3 linked regions of the Sus scrofa genome follow. The protein of the gene in region 2 interacts with the protein of the main gene of each other region in a pairwise test. Links are inferred from orthologs where the notes say so. Each region holds a gene or a part of one and is shown on either strand. Other genes may lie near its edges. The genes, in order: MIF, BNIPL and GFER.

Region 1 (6,054 bases), on a different chromosome or scaffold from region 2:
GAGACTCTGGAACTGCCCAATTTGCAGAAGCAGCGAGCCATGCTTCACTCTCCCAAGCCCTTCCATCCTCCCCAACACGGCAGATGCCCAGCCTGCCTTGCCCACCTCCTGCTCCTATGAGGACACAAGTGAATGCCCTAGCTGGGGGCAACAGGGAGGGGAAATGTGAAGTCAGACCCTGGAAGGTGGCTGGCACAGCATGGGCACATCCAGGGAACCAGGACAATGTCCTCACCTGTGAAATGAGAGTTGGATGAGACACTCATGGAGACCCTCATCTCTGCTCTCATGACCACGTACAGTATAGGCCCCAAGAGGCTAAGTAAAAGTGGGACAGCGTGCAGCCTGGAGCCAGGGGAAGAGGCTCTATGCTGGGAACTGGGGGGGGGGGGGTGGAATGTGGGAGCCAAGGGGATGTGACAAAGGCCAGGGCCCAGGCAGGAGCCTGTTACGTAGCAGGTGCTCACACCCAAGAGGGAGGCCTAGCCTGCAAGCCAGGCTGAATAGGGCCAGCTTGGGCTATGCTACCCCCTCCCCCAGCACAGAGATGGACCTGAGGCTCCAGTCCCCTCACTGAGGACAGAATGAGACTGAGGAGAGTTGGAAGAAGACCTTCGTGGAATAGGAGCACCCCAAAGACGGGCCACATCCTCCAGACTCCCTGGAGCTGATTCTTCTAAGGTCACAACTGTCCCCACTGTTCTAGAAGTAAATCCTCACTGCCCAGGGAGCTGACTGGGGGCTGAGAGTACCCCCGGAGCCAGACTGCTGGACCACCCCAGAGACGGAGGGGTTGGGGTAGATGTCAGCGGATGGAGCTGACAGACTGGGCTAAGCAGCCTGGGGCCTGGGCTGTTCAGAAGGTGCCATAATCCAAGGGTAGGTGTGATCTGTCCTCTGCTACAAGCCTGGGCTGGGCTCCTGAAGCTTCCTGCCCCTGCGTAACAGGAGTTCACACTGATGCCACAGTGTGCCACACAGGCTAGGTGACTGGCAGTGGGCCCAAGGAAGGAGCCTGTGGCCACCCCAGGCTCCAGCACATGTACAGGAACAAGGTGGGCCTTATTACTGCCTATGGCTCAGAGGCAGGCCTGTTCCTCACTCCCAGCATCAGAAGGAAAGCGCTCCAGGGGCTGGGCTCAGGCGGTTACCCTCTTCCCCAGAGTCCTTCACCTTCCAAAAACGGTTCACTTCAATTCTGTGGAATTTAAAAAACCACCTCTATCTAGGATGTTCTTGTCTATCTCAGGGGCTGAGGCAGAACAAGGGGTCTCAGGTGCAGGGCCAGGGGTCCAGAGGTTAGGCCCCCAGGAACGGGGTTCATGGGGCTGGAAGAGCCTCTCTCTGCAGGCAGCTGCAATGAACTGGGCTTCTCCCACAGGGTGGGCAGTGCAGGAAGGGCAGAGCTGGCTCTTCACTTTAGCCAAGACACAGGTGCCGGCTCTGATCAAGGGACGCCAACTCCAGGCACGTTAAGTCCCCAGTGCTCAGGGCTGGGCCTCAACTTGGAGTTGCTGCGCAGGTCCATGGAGGATCTCCTGCTGTGGGGCAGTGAGGCATTCAGCCTAAAGGTGACTGGCCTGGGCAAGCAGCACCTCCTGGCTGGAGGACTGCCCAGTACCTTGTCACCACCCCACAAGGGAGCAAGGCCCTGCACTTGGAGAAAGGATCCTAAGCCAGGAAACTGTCCTATTGCACCTTGATACTGATTTTGTTCTTGATCAAATCCTCAGCGTCCTAGTGGGGTTAACTAGCCACCTGCAGGCTTTCCGGACTTGCTGCGCACTAGAAAACATGAATGGCACCCAAACTATAGGAGTATGCCCTCAGGGAACTGCTATTCCTAAGGGCCTGGGTGCCTGAAGGGAGCCCTACCCAGGCCTGGAACTGGGGTGGACAGGGCAGCATAACCAGAATCCACCTCCTGGAGCCTCTGTCCCACACTTGAAAACCATCCTAAAGTTCCAAAACAATGGGATTTCCTAAGTCAAGACACTGAAGCACCAGCTTGGCAGAGAATGACTCCTGAGGTGGAGCGGGCGCCCTCACCCGGATTTGGATTACTCCCCCTTTGCCCGCCAACCCTAGCCCACGTGGTGCCTCGGCAGGAGAGAGGGTGGGGGACAGACTATGGATTCCCGATTCGAATTTGATTCCTGGGTTGTGGCCTCTGGAAGGATGCCAACCTCAGTGGGGCCTTCTGCTGGCAAAGGGTAGGGGAAGGCGCCCCACAGCTCATTCTGGGGGCGCCCCTCCCGGCCTCGGACCCCTGTCACTGACCCGGCCCTTCACCAATTCCTCCGCTAGTCAAGGAAGCCGGAGGCAGCCATCTCCACACCGTTTATTTCTCTCTTCCGGGAGCTGGGGTCGCTAGGGGCGAGGCAGGCAGAAAACAGAGCCGGCGGCGCCAGGCCGAGAGCAAAGGAGTCTTGGGGTGCGGCCCTCAGGCGAAGGTGGAGCCGTTCCAGCCCACATTGGCCGCGTTCATGTCGTAGTAGTTGATGTAGATCCTGCGGAGAAGGAAGCGAGGCTGAGCGGGCAACTGGGCGGCCGCCGTGGCCGCGTGCTCCCCGGCCCTCGGCGCCCACGCACCTGTCCGGGCTGATGCGCAAGCGTTCGGCCAGCAGGCCGCACAGCAGCTTGCTGTAGGAACGGTTCTGCGCGCCGCCGATCTTGCCGATGCTATGCAGACTGCAAAGGGCGCACGGCTCGCTGGACCCTCCGAAGGCCATGAGCTGGTCCGGGACGACGTGCACCGCGATGTACTGCGGGGGAGGGGACGCGGTCAGTCGGCCCGGGTGACCTCGCCGGCCCAGACGCCCCCCGCCCCCGCGTCCCTTCCCCGCCCGGAGCCCCATTCCGGAATCGCCGCCCCCCCTCCCCCAACCCCAGCCTCAGCCCGGAACCGCCTCGCCCGGCCCTCGTGGCAGACCTGCGCCGGCTTGCCCATGGCCTGCACCAACTGCTGAGTCAGCTCGGAGAGGAACCCGTCCGGCACAGAGGCGCGGGGAACGTTGGTGTTTACCACGAACATCGGCATGATGGCCAGGAACAGTGGGGACCCGGAGCACAGGAACCTAACTGCGCGGTCAAGAAGCAGGGGAACCTGAGATACGTGACCGCCGCCCGGCGCCCCGCCCACTGCGACTGCGGTTCCGCCCCGTGACGTCACCGCCGGCGGAGATCCCGCCCCCGAGGCCGCGAGGCCTTCGCGACTGGTGACGTCACCGCCGGCAGAGGCCCCGCCCTCACGGCGGGACTTTGAGACCCTACTCCGCCTACCCCTGGCTGGGTGCCCCCTCCAAAGCCGTTCACCACCTCGTGGCCAGAAGTGTGCCTTTCCCTCGTTCATCAGCCCTTTTATTTAGTCACAGATATCTACTCATCTGTGTGCCAGGAGCGGGGATACTGCGGTTAGGGGGGCAGGTGGCTTCTGGCCCTCCAGGAGCTCACAGCTGGACAAGTAGATGAAGTCCAGCTCATTCTCACTGAGCCCTTGTGTGTCCTGAGTCTCTGGGGCCACTGTCCTGAGTGGACGGGTGGGCGTGCTGGTGTTCATGTGTAGGGGTGAGGCGCAGTCACTGATGCAGGTGGGAGGGGGCTACCACAAATGAGTCACCATCCAGATGCCTTCCCTATACCCCTGCTCCTCAAGGTGGGTGGGGATGCTGGGTGGTGCCCCGGGTAGGGGCAGCGAGTAGGAGGGGATGTCTGACAGAGCTCAAAGCCCACCCCAAAACTTGAGTCCCCTGGGCAATTCCTCTGATGTGTCCTCTGGGGACGCCCTCTTACAGCCTGAGTGAATTTTCTGTTTCTTCCACTAGTGGTCAGCTCAACGGGTAGCTAGTAGGTGCCAAGCATATGAAAGACATGGACTAAATACTGGGTGAATGAAGTTAGCCATGACGGGGCAGGAAGAGGTCAGGGCCAGGGATGAGCCTGCAGGCCCTGCCATTACTGGACAGAAGGGCCACCTGACCCCTGCTCTGAGGAGACCCCTGGTCAGGGGGCTGGGCTGGGGACTGGCACTCAAGGGGCATGCAGGTTTGGCCAGTCTCAGAGCTCTCCAGGAAAGCCCTGTCCTTGGTCTCTGACAGTTGTGGTCTGGTTAAGGTGGCAGAGCATGTTGCTGGCCTTGACAATGGCCATATGATGGATCAAGGCCACCAGGCTTGTGGGACCAGCTGGCCTCCAGAGGGAAGGTCTCATGGCCCAGCTGTGCCAATAACTCTGTAAAATGTGGGGCTTTCCAGGTAGGCCCAGATCACTTTCCTCCCCACTCCCACACCCAGCCGTCTTTCTGTGCTCAGGGTTCTGTTACCACTGATGCACTGATGTCTCCAGCCCAGGATGCTCCTCTGAGCTCCAGCAGCCAACTCAGCATGGCCTGCTCCCGGTGTCCACATCCAAGTGCATGACTTTTCTCCCACCTCTGATCTCCTCCCAGTGAACTGTGCCTCCCTCCACTATGCCTTTATCCTCGCCTCTCCCCCCACCCCTGATCCCACCTTAGTCTAAGTTAGCTGGCATCACTCTTGGCCTGGCCTCTCCTGGAGGAGGAGTCTGTTCCCCCTGCCTACCCAGGTAGATCTGGCCATGTGACTTGCTTTGTCCAGTGACCAGAAGTGACGCAAATGATTCCAGGCAGAAGATCCAAAAGCTAGTGCCCAGTTCCATGTTCTCTGATGTGGCAGCGGGTGACACAGAGCCTCTCCAACAAACACCTGCAATGCCCTGTGGGTGAGCCGCTATGGTTTTCAGGTTGTTACTGTGACAGAGGGGAGCCTTCCCCATCAGGACAGCCTTTGTGTACCCTCCCTTCCCAGGAGTAGTCACTGCTGTCTTTCAGGGAGGGCCTCTGAGGAGGGACTAGATTCCCAGTCCCACTTGTCACTAGCTTGGACACTTGGCTAACCTCTCTGAGCCTCAGTTTTCCTGCCTGTAACTTGGGGATGACAGTAGTGTCCATTTTACAGGGGGATGTTGTGAGGACCCAAGTGGTTTAATTACTGGTGATGGTCCCCAGTACCATCACAGTGCCCTGGGTGACCTGGTCCCCTCCTGCACTTTCCCTGATCTGCTTCAGCACCCAAAGCTCCTGGCTGGGTCAGGCCCAGTCAGGAGCCCAGCACCTGTTCTCTTCTTCCAGGCTATCACCATATTTCTGTGTGTGAGTTACTGCTTCCTTTCTAGGCTCCCTGAGCTGGGGGACTATTTCTTTTGGGCCTGGCTGCGTGCCTACCTTCTGCCCTGTTGCTCGGTAGCAGGCAGAGGGCCTCCAAGGCTGTCCATGCCCTAGTCCCCCAAACCTGTGAATGCATTACGTTACATGGCAAAAGGCACTTTGCAGATGTAATTAGGGTTACAGACCCTAAAATAGGGAGGTTATCATGGATTATCTGGGTGGTTCCGATGTAATCACAGGAGCCCTTAAAAGCAGAGAATTTTCTCCAGCTCGAGTCAAAGACAAGGCAGAAGCGGAGTCAGACTTAAAGCAGAGGGACTCAGTGTGCTGTTACTGGCTTTGAAGATGAGGGGGCCTCAGTCCTGAAGCCGCAGGGAACTGAATTCTGCTAACAGCCTGAATGAACTCGGAAGTGGGTTCCTCTCTAGTTGACCTTGAGACACCTTGACTTGGGCCGTGAGTCCTAAAGCAGAAGACCAGTCACTTTGTGTTCGACTTGCAACCCACAGAAACCGTGAGATAATAAATGTGCGTTGTCTTAAGCTGCTAAATTTGTGGTAATTTGTTCTAGAAGCGATAGAACAGTAACACACCTGACGTCACTGGGGCTCCAATTACCAGCTGAACCACAGCCCACACTCACCTGGAGGCCTTGGCCAACAGTTGCCAACCTTCCCTGAAATCCCCTCCCCTTCCCTCCTCACTGACAGAGCCCCAGTTCTGTTGCTCAGAATATTCCCTGTCCCAGAACCACAGCAACCAGACGTGGTGCAGTGATGCACGGCATGCACAGGGAAGCAGCTGCCTTGCTCATGGAGATGCTACTCTACGCCCTCTCTCCTGATCCTGCCTGGAACTTCGACATGACC
Region 2 (7,626 bases):
ATTTAATCAATCATGCCTACATATGAAGCCTCCATTTAAAAAAACTAACTGATGGAGTTCCCGTCGTGGCACAGTGGTTCGGTCCCTGCCCTTGCTCAGTGGGTTAACGATCCGGTGTTGCCGTGAGCTGTGGTGTAGGTTGCAGACTTAGCTCGGATCCCGCGTTGCTGTGGCTGTGGCTGTGGCAAAGGCTTGGCAGCTACAGCTCCAATTCGACCCCTAGCCTGGGAACCTCCATATGCCCGCAAAGAAATAGCAAAAAGACAAAGGAAAACAAACAAACAAACAAAAAAAAACCTAACTGAAGGGGTTCTAAGAGGTTCTGAGTTGGTGAACATGTGGAGGTATTGGGAGGGTGATGCACCCCCAGAGAGGAGCTCCACACCCCTCTCCACATAACTTGTCCATTGTGTTGCTTCCTTCTGGCTGTTCCTGAGCTGTATCCTCTTATAATAAACCTATAATCTAGCAAGTAAACGGCTGTCTTAAGTTTTATGAGCTGTTGTAGCAAATTATCAAGCCTGAAGAGGGGGTAGTGGGAACCTCTGATTTACAGCCTGTCAGTTAGAAGCACAGGTGACAACCCAGACCTGTGACTAGTGTCTGAAGTCTGGGGGCAGTCTTGTGGTTGAGCCCTTAACCCGCGGTGTCTGTATGAACTCCAGTCAAGTGTCATCACTGAATTGTAGGCCATCCAGTTAGGGGAATTGGAGAACTGGTTGGTGTGGGAAAACCTCTACATTTGGTGTTGAAAGGGTAGTGAGTAGAGAAGAAACAAAATTTTCCTTAACATCTAAATAGTCATGCTTTATACTCTGAATCCCTAACATGCTGTGCTATTGTCCACGTTGCTTCTTCCACCTAGAATGCCTCTCCAGGTACCTGATAAGCTCAGAATTGCCTCCTCTGTAATGTCTTTCCTTTTTCTTTCCTTCTTTTTTTTTTTTTTTTTTGCTTTTTAGGGCTGCACTCACGGTATATGGAGGTTCCCAGGCTAGGGGTCCAATCAGAGCTGTAGCTGCTGGCCTATAGCACAGCCATAGCAACGCAGGATCCGAGCTGCGTCTGGGACCCACACCACAGCTCATGGCAACGCCAGATCCTTAACCCACTGAGCGAGGTCAGGGATTGGACCCACAACCTCATGGTCCCTAGTTGGATTTGTTTCCACTGTGCCACGACGGGAACTCCTGTAAAGTGTTTCCTAACATCTCAGGCCCAGCTGACCTTTGCCTTTTCCCTACTTACTCTGTACCCTATACACGTGTTGGTCATAACATTTAACTGCACTCATCTGTATATATGTTTATCTCATACTAAACAGAGAGCTCCCTGAGGGTAAGGATTATCTTATTTTATTTATTTATTTATTTTGGCTGTACCTGCGGACCAGGGACTGAATCCGACCTGCAACTGCAACTTACACCACAGCTGTGGCAACACTGGATCCTTACACTGCTATGCCACAGCAGGAATCTTCTTATAACACAGTTCTAGCTCAGTGACAGCATATAACTGTTATTTAGTAAGTTTTCCTTAATAAACAAAGCACCCTCTTCTTCCCCCTGCCCCCGTCCCCACTACTCCTCTCAGATTTGATCTATAGGCTCTACCTTTCCATTCTGAGGAGCTTTTGCTGATCTAACTTCTTGATTCCCACTATTAGTTCTAACTTCAGTCCCATTAAATCCTCTTGAGCTTCTTCAACTCTGGCCTCTACTTCTACCAGCTCAGTCCTCAGCTGTCCTTCCCACCTTCCCATTCAAATTCGTGTCCGCTGTCCAGCTGCTCCGAGTCTGAAGGTGTCTCCAATTCGTCTACCTCCAGGTCAGAACTGCCATCAGGAGAGGAAGGTACAGAGTGGGTGGAAGAAGCTCCATTATCTCCAGGCCCTTCTGTCAGATTCAGCTGCAACTCTGGGGCAGTCAGACGCTTACGCATGGGGCGCTGGCCACACAGGGCTAAGGTGCTGGGGGTACCTGGGGCTGGAGAAGGGGGAAAAAAGAAGAGAAAGGGGTGTGTGTGTGTGTGTGTGTGTGTGTATGTGTGTATGTGTATGCGGAGGTTAGAATTTCTGTTTGTGTGATAATAGGTGGTGAATTCTAAAGAAGGACTAACACAGGGGCCATTTAGGAAAATGGAAGTGGAACGGCAAAGGGACAGGGTAGCCCAACATGTCCTGGAACTAACCAAGAACTTGAGGCCTGGGTTCTAGTTCGCCTACCCGTCTGTGAGTCTCCTTTAGGGTTCTCAGGATCTTCAGAAGGGTCAGCCTCTTCAGGAAGCAATCTAGGGGGAAAAAGGTGAAAAGGGGGCAGCAGTAATGGCTAAAGGCATTAAGCCATCAATGTATCAATTCTCTCTCCACTATGATTGTATCACCTCTTCCTTTTCCCCACCTTCTGTCAAGTGCCAATTTACCATCCCCGACCTCCGCCCATGACCAGCCCTCCCTTTTCCCAGCCTCTCTCCCTCATACTTCCTCACCTAGGGAATTCTTCATCCTGCCATTCTTCCTGCAGCTCCAGCCCCCCAAGTCTCAAGGATGCTTCTGGCACCGCTGTTTCTGCATTTTCCCTGACCCTGAGATGCCCCGGAAAAAAAAAAAAAAAAAGATTATCATGAGACAAATTAGGCAGTGTTTTGAGGGAACTGGATAGTAGGTGAGAACACAGGAATGCAGAACAGTAATGAAGGTACAGAGCAGAGGGCACGCCTTCAAAAGAATTCAGACTCTTGTCTCCTAGATGTTTCTATCACTTTCACCACTTGTTGAAAGAAATCACGCCTAGGAGTTCCCATGGTGGCACAATAGGAATGGCAGCATCTCTGCAGCGCCAGAATGTGGATTTGATCCTTGGCCTTGCTCAGCAGGTTAAAGGATCCGGCATTGCTGCAGAAGTGGAGTAGGTCATAACTGCGGCTCGGATTTGATCCTATATCTGCCTGGCGGCAAAGAAAGAAAAAAAAAACAAGCAAGCAAGCAATCACCCCTGCTGTTGGGTTTAGAAGCAGAGGAGGGATGGAAGGTAAAGCTAATTATTTTTACCTGTGTGGCAGTTGCTCCACCCACACAGTAGGGGCGAGAGGTATTTCACATTACAATTGGCTGGAACCAGAAAGACCTGCCCAGCTGTCACTCGGCAAAGTTAGGGAAGATGGCACCTAGTCAGGCCTGCCTTTCCTTCAGCACACTGGGGAGTGGTTAGGGGACACCATGGCACAGATGGAGGGAGGGGAAGAAGGGAAGGAGCAAGAGAGATCAGCTGGCTAGGAGAACCTACACTTCTAATTTTGTTCCAGGTCAGCTTTCCCAATGGCCATTCGGGAGAGTGGGTATAAGAAAGAGTAAATTTATCACACGCAAAATATAGAAACTTTCTTTAAAAAGGGGGGGGGCAGTTCTCGTATAGCTCAGTGGGTTAAGTATCTGGCCTTGTCACTGGCAGTAGCTCAGGTTGCTGCCATGGCATAGGTATAATCCTTGACCCAGGAACTTCCACATGATGCCAAAAACAAAACAAAATAATATCCTGGATTCCAATTATCCTGGAAGCCCCTGTTCCCTAATTCCCATAACAAATGGATCTTTCCTACCTAAAGCCACCCCCACCCCTTCTCTGCAAATTCTTTTACAGTTTTGCCTCCTCTAAGAACTTGAGATTTGACTTGGTAAGAGCTGGATGGTGGGAAAGTCCCTCAAAATTAGTCACTCCTCGTTTTCAGTCAAGTTAGCCAAGAACTTACCCAAGATCCAATGTCTTTTCTCCTGCCTCTTGTAGAGTTCCCATCTTCACAAGACTTCCTGTCTTCTTTAAACGCTTGGCGTGGTTGAGGAGCTGGATGTCCCAGCTCCCCCAAACTTCTGTACCCTTCTCTGTCTCAGCTATTGTTGCTCTTGCCTCCGAGGAGGGAGGGGTTGAAGGGAGGTAACCTCACTTTCAAACAGGTTTTGCCACCTCCCTTCCCAAGGAGCAGGTTTGCCCCAAAGAAAAACCATGCCTATGTGGGGGCGGGTTTTGGGGAGGAGAGTACATTTTCTAAAGTGGCTAGTCTTGGGTGAGTCTAGGGAGGCAGTTTTCCACACCCTTTAAAACCATCTGGAAGCTGCTTAAAAAAAAGAGGGAACAGTAGAAATCATCTCGGTTTTTAAGACCACTCTGGGGGGAGTTCCCGTCATGGCGCAGTGGTTAACGAATCCGACTAGGAACCATGAGTTTGCGGGTTCAGTCCCTGCCCTTGCTCAGTGGGTTAACGATCCGGCGTTGCTGTGAGCTGTGGTGTAGGCTGCAGACGTGGCTCGGATCCCCTGTTGCTGTGGCTCTGGCGTAGGCCGGTGGCTATAGCTCCGATTCAACCCCTGGCCTGGGAACCTCCATATGCCGCAGGAGCGGCCCAAGAAATAGCAACAACAACAACAACAACAAAAAAAAAGACAAAAGACAAAAATAAATGAACAAACAAACAAACAAAAAAGACCACTCTGGGCCTACTTTTTGAGCATAAGCAAAACCAAGGACACAGAAGTGCATTATAAGGAGGGTTCTGGAAGAAGAAGCAAATTAAAGGAAAGGCTGGGAGTTCCCTTGTGGCACAGCAGGTTAAGGATCCAGTGTTATCACTGTTACAGCTTAGGTCACTGCTGTGGCACTGGTTCAGTCGCTGGCCCTGGAACTTCCACATGATTTGGGTGTGGCCAAAGGAAAAAAAAAAAAAAAAAAAAAAGGTAAAGGCTGAGGATGAGGGGAGATGTTATTTCCAAAAAGACACAATCGAAGGTGAATAGTAAGTACAGCAGAAAAATGGGAAATGAATCCTGAGGAGGTTAAAACAATTATCAGAGGTGAAGGCCTGATTATAGTTGTAAAAAGAGACAAGACCCCCAAACAGGAAAAAAGTATTTAATACTTTAACAAAATGCAAAATAAAGTACCCAAGTTACAAAACATAAATTCCTTTGGTTCAGTAATCACACCACTATTTTACTTTCCAACAGCTACAAATATCATCTCCTCAAAGGAAGTTATACTGTTCCCCTCATATGAAGACATCATGCCCAAACCATCACGTACCCCACTAATCAGCGAAACTGGTAACAACTTACAGGGAAAAGAGCTGTCGGGTAGGAAAAGGGGGAACAGGGTGGTCTGAAGAAAAAAGGGAGACTACACATGCAGAACAAGTCAGTGGGAGAGAGCTCTTTGCTGGGTCACTATACCTGTACATGCTACATAAGGCTGAGTACTTGGTACGATCACATATAAAGAGACAATCCAGTGACCCTGAGCATTCCCAGGGAAAACCGAAGTAAACAACAAACCAAAAAAACCTCCAGAGAAGCAGAGCTGAGAAAGGATGGTGGCAAGAGGCAGATCACAGAAACCAGCGAGCATCTAGTCCTGATCCCCAGTTTTGCAGATGGGGACGTGAGACCTAGAGGAGTGAGTGTCCTGACAAGAGACACAGTTTATAGTACTTGGTATGAAACCCCATGTTTCCTTTTACGATGAACGAGAGGTTAGACGGATACATCGTTGACAGAGCTGGGCTCCCACTGGAGTTCTCCTGTCCTCTGGGAAGTCCTGTCAGACCTTAAAGCCCTCCCAGATGTCTCCTGAGCTCCAAGAAGCAGGGATCTCCTGTGTCTCTTCGGGATGCCTGTGGCTCTAGGTCAGAGGAGCTCAGAGAAACTGAGAGCTGGGCCACCTCATCAGGACAGAAGATAATGGCCTTTAACCTGCTCCCAGACAATTCCAAAAGAGTCACAATAAGCTCAGAACAGCAATTTGGCCGTCTGGGAAACAGACACCATCCCCTAATTGGGGGGAGAAGGAGGAGTCATGGAGGTGGAAACCAGCTGAAGGCTGAAAACTGGAATAAGCTTAAAGTAGGTATTGTATTCAATAAATATTTGAACTAACAAGAGAAAAAATGGATATACGGAGACAATGAATGTTTGGTTCTATGAGAAATACTGGTTCCATTAAAGAGCCTGACTGAGGGCACTTTTGGAGTATACATTCTTTTGTGCAACTCTGCTGGAAATATGTATGTTATTTCATTATGACCCTAGCAAATGAAATAGAAGAGAGTCAGTGCAGATTTAAAGAGTTAATTTAGTAATAAAATCTGTTTGATTGGTAGAGATTGTGGGGAAAAGGTAGAAAGCCAGCTCAGCTTTCCTTCACTTCTTTCTCCTCCTAGGTTTAAAAGAACAGTATACCAGATCCTAGAACAATGAAGACAGAACTGCTGAAACATCTCAGAACATGCATTCGGGGTGATTCAAGCAACGTCTCTCACTTTCCCCTCCCCTCCCAACAGTCATTTCTTGGAAAGGGAGGCAGTGGTAGATTCTGACAGCGAGATCTGACTACATTTCTCAAAGATGACCTCGGCTGAGAACTTGGGCAGCCCCTGATCCAGAGGGCACTCGTCCACCAGGCTGTTCATGGGCGTTGGGGGCAGTGGAGGCTCCTCCTCATCTTGACTCAGTCCAGAAATCAGGGAGTTACCTGCCCTGTCCAACTCCTTGTCCACCTGCTCCCTAGACACACCCGCTGTTTCAGGCTGTCCTGAAGGGCTCTTCATGGAGTCAAAATATGCTGACAGGGCTTCCTGGAGCAGAGGTAGAAGTTTCTTTCGAGAGACCTGGGTGTTGCCTTGAAGATAGGCTTGGAGGTTAGGGTGGGTGCTTGGAACAGGGACCAGCTTCAGGGATGGAGAATGGGAGCTTTCCAGGACTCCACAGATCTAAAGACAAGACAGGGAGATGGTATATAAGAGGGTGAAGCAAAGAGCTGAGGCGTCTAAGTAACAGGCTTCTCTAATGAGGAGAAAAAGCGTTTTTTTTTTTTTTTTTTTTTTGTCTTTTTGTCGTTGTTGTTGTTGCTATTTCTTGGGCCGCTCCCGAGGCATATGGAGGTTCCCAGGCTAGGGGTCCAATCGGAGCTGTAGCCACCGGCCTACGCCAGAGCCACAGCAACGCTGGATCTGAGCCGCGTCTGCAACCTACACCACAGCTCATGGCAACGCCAGATCGTTAACCCACTGAGCAAGGGCAGGGACCGAACCCGCAACCTCATGGTTCCTAGTCGGATTCGTTAACCACTGCGCCACGATGGGAACTCCGAAAAAGCGTTTTTTAAATTAGGTCATCCAGAGTGGTTTTGTCGCTTACAATAAAAGGCACATCAGTTAATATACATAGTATTTTAGAAACAGAAGAAATGTTCGAGATCATATATTTCATTTTATTAATAAGTAACCAAAGCCCAAAGGAATTAAGTGTTCTGAACAAAATAATGTAGATGATGGTAGAGTCTGAAACAGAACCTGGACTCTTGACTCCTAACCTAGTGTTGTTTCCAAGGGTAATCCTGTGCTCAGAAACTTGAACTCTGGAGTGCCTGTTGTGGTTCAATGATTAAGAACCCGAATCGTATCCACAAAGACGCAGGTTCAATCCCTGCCTCACCCAGTGGGTTAAGGATCTGGCGTTGCCGTGATCGCAGATGTGGTTCAGATCTTGCATTGCTGTGGCTATGGTGTAGGTCAGCGGCTTCAGCTCCAATTTGACTCCTATCCTGGGAACTTCCACATGCCACAGGTATGGTGGTAAAAAAA
Region 3 (7,714 bases), on a different chromosome or scaffold from region 2:
CAGTGCTGCTGCTGCCTTCGCCGCCTCTCGGGAGCGCGCAGCGGCCGCGGCGGGGGCGCGCGGGGCGGGACAGAGCCCGCGCCCCCCCACCCCCGTCCAGGCGTTCAGGGCTGGAGCCCTCCCCTACCTCTGCCCGCCCTCCTTCCACCCCTAGTCTCACTGCAGCACCAGGGTCCGAGATGGACACTACCTGCCATGTCTCCATCAGGGCGCAGGGTCACGCGACTGAGTCCCCCAGGTCCCCTAACTGGTAGGCAGGAGTCAGCAGGGCAGGCGAACACTGGTCTCAGCCTTTGCTGTCGCCACGTCAATGGACAAACCGACATGACCTCACTCAGCTTCCTGCCCCTGGTCCTGGCAGACCAGAGATGGGTTACTGGGGCACTCCCTGACTTCACCACTGTACCTGGCAGCCTCCCGAACCGGGAGGGAGAGTGCCTTCTGCCCTCAGGGCCACTCGTCCAGGCAGGCTGGTGTGGGTGGGAGCTGGGGCCTCTCTGCTCTTTCCCTGGGCTTGGATATCGTCATTCCAAGGTTCTCACTTAGCCCTCCCCACCCCCAGTTTTTGGCGACATATTTAGTTTTGGGCCAAGGAGAGGGGAGAAGCACCAGAGATGAGGAGATTGGCAGAGCAGTGCCTTGCTTCCCCTGAACACCTGCTGAGGGGTCTTTGCCACAGATGGCCCAGCCCCAGGTTAGACAGGGTCCCTTCCCTCGTGTTCCTTACAGGCCAGCCCAACAGGGGCCCAGGGGCCTCCCGTTTCTGCCTAGGGCACTGAGAAAAAACCTGCCTTTGGGGCGCATTTACAGCGCCAGAGCTTTCACTGTGCCCCGTGGAGGTAGGGAGTGTTTTACGCCCAATCTTCAGATTCTAGAGGCAGGCTGGTTGAATTCCTTGAGCTCAGAAAGTGCAAGAGCTGGAGATTCAAACCCAGGTCCCTACTGTGCCATTCGTGTGGTGTGGACAGTGGTATCCGGCCCATCCCCCGGGGAGCTCAGTCCAGAGCGGGAAGTGTCGCCCACTTTGCATCCAGCCCCATCCCCTCTCACCTGTGGGCAACAGCGCCCTCTGTCCCACGCCTCGTCCCTGTCCCTCTTTGCTTGATTGCTTACATCCGTGCCTCAAGATGCCACTTTGCTGTCTTAAAAACAAATTTACAGGAAGTTCCTGTGTGGTGCAGCAGGTTCAGGATCCAGCACTGCCACAGCTGCAGTGCAGTTTGGATCCCTGGCCCCGGGAACTTTCACATGCCATCCTGTCCCCATCCTCCTGGGGACACTTGCAATGCCACCCCATCCTTATATTCCTCCCATCCCATGGGTCCTTTCTTATCTCTTTCTGGTTCCCTTCTCCTGTTCGGATCTGTGTCCTTTGAGCCTTAGGGGTCCCAGGGCACGGTGCTGGGGCTCTTCTGCCTGCTCTCTGCTCACTCTCTTGGTCTACATGCTAAGAGCTTGAGCCAGAACCTTCCCCTGAACTAGGATCCCACTTGTCTCAACTGGATGGTCTGGAAAACAGTCCATAGCCAAGTTAGAGCTGTATTGGGAGGTTAAACTTCGGGGAAGCCAGAGGTAGGGGACAAGGGCAGTGAGGTGGGGGTGGGGGGCACTGATACAGACAGTGTGCTCCGGAGCTGACCACGGCTTCACCAGCTCCCAGCACGCAGGCGACCTGGGAAAGGCCCTGTGCCGGGGACGCCCTTCTAAAAAAAGAGCAGGAAAAAGAGCAGGAACCCCTCTGCTGGCTGCTCCTGGCCTCCTGTTTCTCTGTGTCAACCCTCTGGGGTGCAGGTGCCGAGGAAGCTGTGCCAAAGGTTGGCCCTTGCCCGGGGAGGAGCTGAGACGCCACGGGGGGAGGTGGCCAGAGCTTTATGGCCACAGGGATGGGACACACTATTGTTGGGCCATTCCAGCGGAGAGCTGACAACTGGCAGAGTAGGTGTGGCTGAGAGGATCCAGGACGGCCCAAAAGCTGGGTCCAGGTCACCCCCAAACCTGCTTTGCTCACAGCCTTCTGCACCTCACTGATACACTGGGCAACTCCATCCTCCAGTGACTGGGGCAGAGCTTCACTCTTGGCCGCCACATGGGTGCCTGTCCTCCCTGCTCTCCCCCACGCCTGCCTCATTCCAGCTCCACAGCCAGAGAGACCTTTCAAAAGTCACTTCTTGCCGTTCCTCTGCTCCACACCCTTCCGTGGGAGCTAGGTGTTAAAAGCACATCCTTTCTGGGGTCTTGAGGACCTGCCGCCATGTGACCTCGCTCCCCTCTCTGCTCCTCCCCCAGACCCAGCAAGGAGGCCTCCTTGGAGTTCCCGTCGTGGCGCAGTGGTTAACGAATCCAACTAGGAACCATGAGGTTGCAGGTTCGGTCCCTGCCCTTGCTCAGTGGGTTAACGATCCGGCATTGCCGTAAGCTGTGGTGTAGGTTGCAGACTCGGCTCAGATCCCACGTTGCTGTGGCTCTGGCATGGGCTGGAGGCTACAGCTCCGATTTGACCCCTAGCCTGGGAACCTCCATATGCCGCGGGAGCGGCCCAAGAAACAGCAAAAAAAGACAAAAAAAAAGACACACACACACAAAAAAAGGAGGCCTCCTTGCTGTTCGCGGAACAGCCTGGCCCAGTCTTGCGATGGCACAGCTCCCTCTTCCTCGGGAGTCAGAACTCAGATGGGAGGAGGCAGCAGACTACATGCAGCGAGGGCAGGCCCGTCCATCACCGCAAGCGCCAGCACAAAACACACCGAAGGCAGGTCTTCAGTCACTTCTCCAGCATTTTATTTTGGTCTCAAGCTCCACAGAAGCCTTCGACAGGCCTGGTGCAGCTGAGCAAGGCCACATGCGGCACGGCAGGTGTGCAGCAGAGCTCAGCCCCCAGGCCTCTCTCCTGAAGTACTGGCAGCGCACAGGCCCCGGGCTAAAGACACTGCAGCCATGCCAGCTGTCCCTAGCTACACGGTGGGGGACAGGGGCCTGGCCTGGCAAGACAGAGGAGCCCTGCCAGGCTGGTCACCTTCCTAAGTTGGCAGCAGGTGTCAGGTGAGCAGGAGGCCGAATCTGGAAAGGGAGGGACAGCCTAGGCTGCCCTGGCCTCCTTCAGCGCCCTCGGGCCTGGGTTGAGGGGGAGGCCGTCGGGGGCACCCCCACTTCTACTCTGAACCTGAGAGAGGGCTCCATGGGCAGGGTCTGGGGACCACCCAACTGAGACAAGACAGGCTCTGGCTCTGATGTACTTTTAATAATGAGCCCCACACGCTCTGGTCAGGCCGCGCACATGCTCTGGCTGGCTGGCATCTAGTCACAGGAGCCGTCCTTCCATCCGTCTCGCCAGCGCTCGTCCACCTGCGAGCAGTCAAACTCCGGCTTGCCCAGCTTGCGGTTCACCTCGTTGTGCAGGCGGCACAGCCACTGGGTGAAGTGTGCCCGGGTGCGTGTGTCTGGCTGGTTCCGGCATATCCTGTGTGTGGGAGCACGCGGAGGATGGGGGCAGGCAGTGCCCCCACTGTGCCCACCCCCCAGCTCCTTGCCTGCCCAATTCAGGGAGGAGAGCTGGCACCTTTGCCGGGGGGAGGCTACACCAGGAGTGCCCCTGCAGCAGCAAGACCTGCCAGACACCTGGGCCTGCTCAAACCCTCACCCGCGGAGCTCAGCAAACTCAAAGAAGCACCCTGGGCCAGACATTAAGGCACAGACCTCGACTTCATGGCCTCAAAACAATCAGGAAGCCTCACACCCTTGCGTCCTTGGCCCCAGGCAGTGTACAGAAGGGATGGAACCTGCACAAAGGCATAACTGAACACCAGATCTGCTTCTTAGCACCCACGGCCCTGCTGCCTCAGCTCAGTAAGAGACTTTGTTCTAACTGCCCAGGCTTCAAACAGCAAGGGCTGCCCTGCCCCTCAAATCCAGCCCAGCCTATGGGTGCCACACCACAGTTCTTGGGCTCCGCAATGGAGAAAAGGGGGCTCTCGGGAGCAAAAGCAGTGAGTTCCCAAGGTCTTGAAATTGGCAGTCCTGCTCCAGCAGGTAGCAAAGCGGCGCCCTCCACACCTGCCAGAGCCTCCAGCAGTGCTAAGCAAGGCATCTCAGGAGGGAAGTGCTCCCCAGAGTTCTGGGGCGGAAGAAGCCCCAGGCAGCTTGGCCCTCGAGGAGAAAGGAGATGATCCAAGATCCCTCATCTGCTGCTGGCCCCTGCTCTCGGCAACCCTCTCCCACCTCTGCCTTTATTTCTCTAGGCTTCCCTTTATGACATCAGCCAGGCCCAGGCTCCCGGCGGGACTGGCTGCGGTACCCAGGACTCACACAACTTACCTCCTCCTTATGTCTTCAGCACACTCCTCGCATGGGTAAAACTTGGAAAATAAATTTACCAACTGAGCCATATCTTGCTGCTGTTCTGGGGTGGGCAGGTCGGGGTAGTAAGCAGCCAGGGTGTGGAGTACAGCCCAGCTGTGGCGGCCGAGTTCCTCGCGATCTGGAGGACAATCTTCCCTAAACTTGCTGTCCCGCTGTGGAAGGAGGCCGACCAAGGGTTAGCTCCGTTCCCCCGCCGGAAACCTACAAAGCTCCATTTTTTCTGCCCTAGCCGGAGGCCTACTGTCTGTCCTAAGTCCTAAGGAGGCTGGTCCGGCCAACAAGTGGCTAAGGGCCGAAAGGCCCGGCCTCCCTTAAGGGCTAGGCTTTGGGACAGCCACCCCTCAACCCCGGGGAAGGGGGCAAAGTCTTAGGGCCTGGAGGAGTGCTCCGCCTGGGTCTTGGGAACTCTGCCCGGGGCGCTTGACAACATGGTGTGCGGGCCGGGGCTAGGAGTCGGCAGGGCTCGCGGGCCTCTGCGGGAAGGAGGCGCCTCCCCAACCCCACGCGACATCTGCACCTTCTGCTGCGTCCGCATCCACGACTTGAAGTCCACGCAGGCCCGGCAGGGCCGCCTCCGGGAGGCGTCCTCGGCGACCTGAGAATCCGAGGCCGGGGCTTGGGAGGGCATCCCGGCTGAAGCGGCGGCATCTCTCCGCCCGGCGCCCCGGCCGCGCGCGTCCGTCACCAGGTCATCCACCACCTCGGAGCGCGCGCCGCCGGGCAGGAAGGAGAAGAGGTTCCCGCCAAAGCGGCCCCGCTCGCCGGGGGCCGCCATGTTACCCGCGCAATGCCTGCCGGGCCAGCTCGGTCTCCAGATGGGCTTCCAAGTCGGTCTCCAGGCCAGGGCGCGCGCCGCCGCCAGGGCGCGGCCGCAGGAGCCGGGAGCCCGGGCCGCGGGCGCGGGCGCGGGCGCGGGCGCGGGCGCGGGGCCTGAGCTGGGGCCGGGGGCGGGGTCGGGGGCGGGGCCTGGGCCGGTGTCCGGCGTGGAGGCGGAGCCGGGGGCCGCGGCCCGCGACCCGGAAGAAGCAGAGCTGGAGTCGGCGGCCCGGGCCCGCGTGTGTGCGGGGTTGGAGATCCTAGTCCTGGCCGCAGCCCTGGGCCTCGTTCCGCGGCCCGAGCCCGACTTGCGTCCTCCGTGGCGGCGCTCCCGCTTCCTCCAGTAGAAGACCAGCGTGTTGTGGAAGCGGCGCGGCCGTGCCGTAGCCTCTGGCTGCGGCTGAGGCGACGTCCGTTTCGTGGCCCGCGATGCCCCCATCGCTCCGCTCTGACCGTCCCGCGTGCCCGCTGCTAGGCCCTATGCCCTCGGCTGGGGGCGTCCTGGGAGCTGGCGCTTGGTGCTGTGGCAACATGGGGCGGGGCCGTGAGCGCACAGAGGCGATGCTGCCGGGGCTGAGCCTGCGGATCCGCCCTGGCGACGGGTGCCATGGCAACGGGTGACTGGCAACCCGGGGTGAGGCGGTGCCGGCAAAGGAGGCGGTGCGTGTTTGGGCTGCGCGCACGGAGCGGACCCTCCCGCTCCCGAATCCTGTAGCCTGCCTGAAGCGGTTAAACCCACGTCGGGAGTGGCCTCAGGGATACCTGTGCTTCCAACTGTGCATTCATTCATTCCGCAAATATTTGTGTAGTGCCTCATCTGTTCAGAGCTGCTCTAGGCGCTGGGCGGTGCCGGGAGAAAGATTCGAAAGTTTCTGACCTCCCCAACCCATAATCCAGTGTGGTCAAGACGGAAACAACAAAAATCTAAAAGGTGTCACACTAATAAATGCTCGGGGGCATGAATGGGGCGAGGTAAATGCGGGAGGCCTCCTTGAGGAGGTGACGCTTAGGCGGAGGCCTGAAGAATGAGGAATCACTGAGAAGGGCAATCAAGGCCGAGGAGGATCTTTGCTTCTTGTGTGGGTGGGAAGGCCAGCAGGACAGGACCTGGGTAGGGTGGTGGCAGAAGAGATCCAGCGGTGGCCAGGGGCCCAGCAGGGACCTCATCAATGGCCATGGGCGCTGGCAATTTATTCCAAGGACCCTGGGAATGTGCTGGGACATTTGGGGCCTGGTACTCTGGTGTGATCTCAGTCGCCAAGCTGCCTCTGGGGAGTGGATGTCACAGGAGCAAGTGAGGAGTACAGGCTTTGGGGGAGGATGGGGCTGCTGCAGTTGTCCAGGTGAGACGTCAGGGTAGGGTTATAGAGAGAGAGGAGTGGAGGGCGTCTAGATTGCTGGCGGTGTGGAGCAGGGGCTGTCAGTTGGCATGGGGGGGGGCAGTGCTTAGCATCCTTTTAGGTTCCTGGTGTGAGCAAACTGCCCATCTCCAACTTCTCTCTCTTCCCAGGAACAGGTCTGTCCCACCCTGTACCCTATCAGGCTAGTGGCCCCCACTGAGACTGGCAAGAGTGTGACAGCTAGACTGAAGGCACTTTGCAAAAATAGGCCTCTGTTGGTGCTCCCGCTGTGGTGTGACAGGATGGGCAGCGTCTTGGGAGCCCTAGGACTTGGGGTCAATCTTTGGCCTGTCACAGTGGGTCAGAGATCCAGCATTGCCACAGCTGCGGCTTAGGTGGAGACTGCAGCTCATATGTGATCCATGACCTGGGAGCTCCATCTGCCACCAGGTGGCCACAAATGAAAAAAAAAAAAAAGAAAAAAAAAATTAGGTCTGTATCCACAGGTGTTCATTGTCTGTGCCAAGACCAGGGAAAGTTTGAGGGCTTTGGGGGGAGCTGCTGTTTGGACAGACTTACAAAGGCCTTTTGTCAAGGCCAGGGTGCCTCCCTGGAGGGACCTCTTGGAGGCTGGCCCCTCCCTCATAGGCATGGGGTAAGGTGAGTTCCAACACAGAGCTGGCAGCTCCCACGGTGGGAAGAACTGCTGTATGCCAGGATTGGATGGCACTCCGAAAATCTCCCCTCCAGGGAAGCGGGGCACCTGGGCACACCCTGTCTGGGGATTCTGACCCATTGGGTTAAGGATTCGGCATTTCTCTGCAGCTGCTCTGGTGGCTTCTGTGGCGAAGGGTTTGACCCCTGGCCCAGGAACTTTCACATGCTATGGATGTGGCCAAACGGAAACAGAAAACAAAAAACAAACCAGCAGAGTCCTAGTCACCACCTCTCCCGTCCCCCAAGTGCTGGTGCCTGGAGGTGGATGCTCTACATCCCGCCCCAGGTCCGTCCACCGCAGGGGAACTGATGCTCTGAGCCTGTGAAGTCTGTCTTTCCCCAACACGTACAGACAAAACCCCTGACAGTTAATAGCCATTTAACATAAATTCCTCCTCTGTGACTTGGGGACGTTAAGAGACCTTTCCTCCTGGACCTCCCATCATGGCTCAGTGGTTAACGAAGCCGACTACTGTCCATGAGGA

The links.
Region 1: the proteins of BNIPL (region 2) and MIF interact in a two-hybrid assay, tested with the Homo sapiens proteins (2 studies listed by BioGRID and IntAct). The link is inferred for Sus scrofa from reciprocal best matches to the Homo sapiens genes BNIPL and MIF.
Region 3: the proteins of BNIPL (region 2) and GFER interact in a two-hybrid assay, tested with the Homo sapiens proteins (2 studies listed by BioGRID and IntAct). The link is inferred for Sus scrofa from reciprocal best matches to the Homo sapiens genes BNIPL and GFER.

Annotation. Positions count from the first base shown.
Region 1 is NC_010456.5:49,837,978-49,844,031, forward strand, and holds MIF (macrophage migration inhibitory factor), read right to left. Parts: upstream 3,087-6,054; 5' UTR 3,041-3,086; coding exon 2,933-3,040; intron 2,766-2,932; coding exon 2,593-2,765; intron 2,511-2,592; coding exon 2,444-2,510; 3' UTR 2,326-2,443; downstream 1-2,325.
Region 2 is NC_010446.5:98,189,253-98,196,878, forward strand, and holds the start of BNIPL (bcl-2/adenovirus E1B 19 kDa-interacting protein 2-like protein), read right to left. Parts: upstream 4,271-7,626; 5' UTR 3,792-4,270; coding exon 3,748-3,791; intron 2,584-3,747; coding exon 2,488-2,583; intron 2,290-2,487; coding exon 2,225-2,289; intron 1,986-2,224; coding exon 1,755-1,985; intron 1-1,754. Other genes in the region: PRUNE1 (protein prune homolog), read right to left, coding at 6,325-6,753. UniProt on the Homo sapiens protein: May be a bridge molecule between BCL2 and ARHGAP1/CDC42 in promoting cell death.
Region 3 is NC_010445.4:39,979,182-39,986,895, forward strand, and holds GFER (FAD-linked sulfhydryl oxidase ALR), read right to left. Parts: upstream 5,271-7,714; 5' UTR 5,132-5,270; coding exon 4,874-5,131; intron 4,509-4,873; coding exon 4,312-4,508; intron 3,458-4,311; coding exon 3,295-3,457; 3' UTR 2,757-3,294; downstream 1-2,756.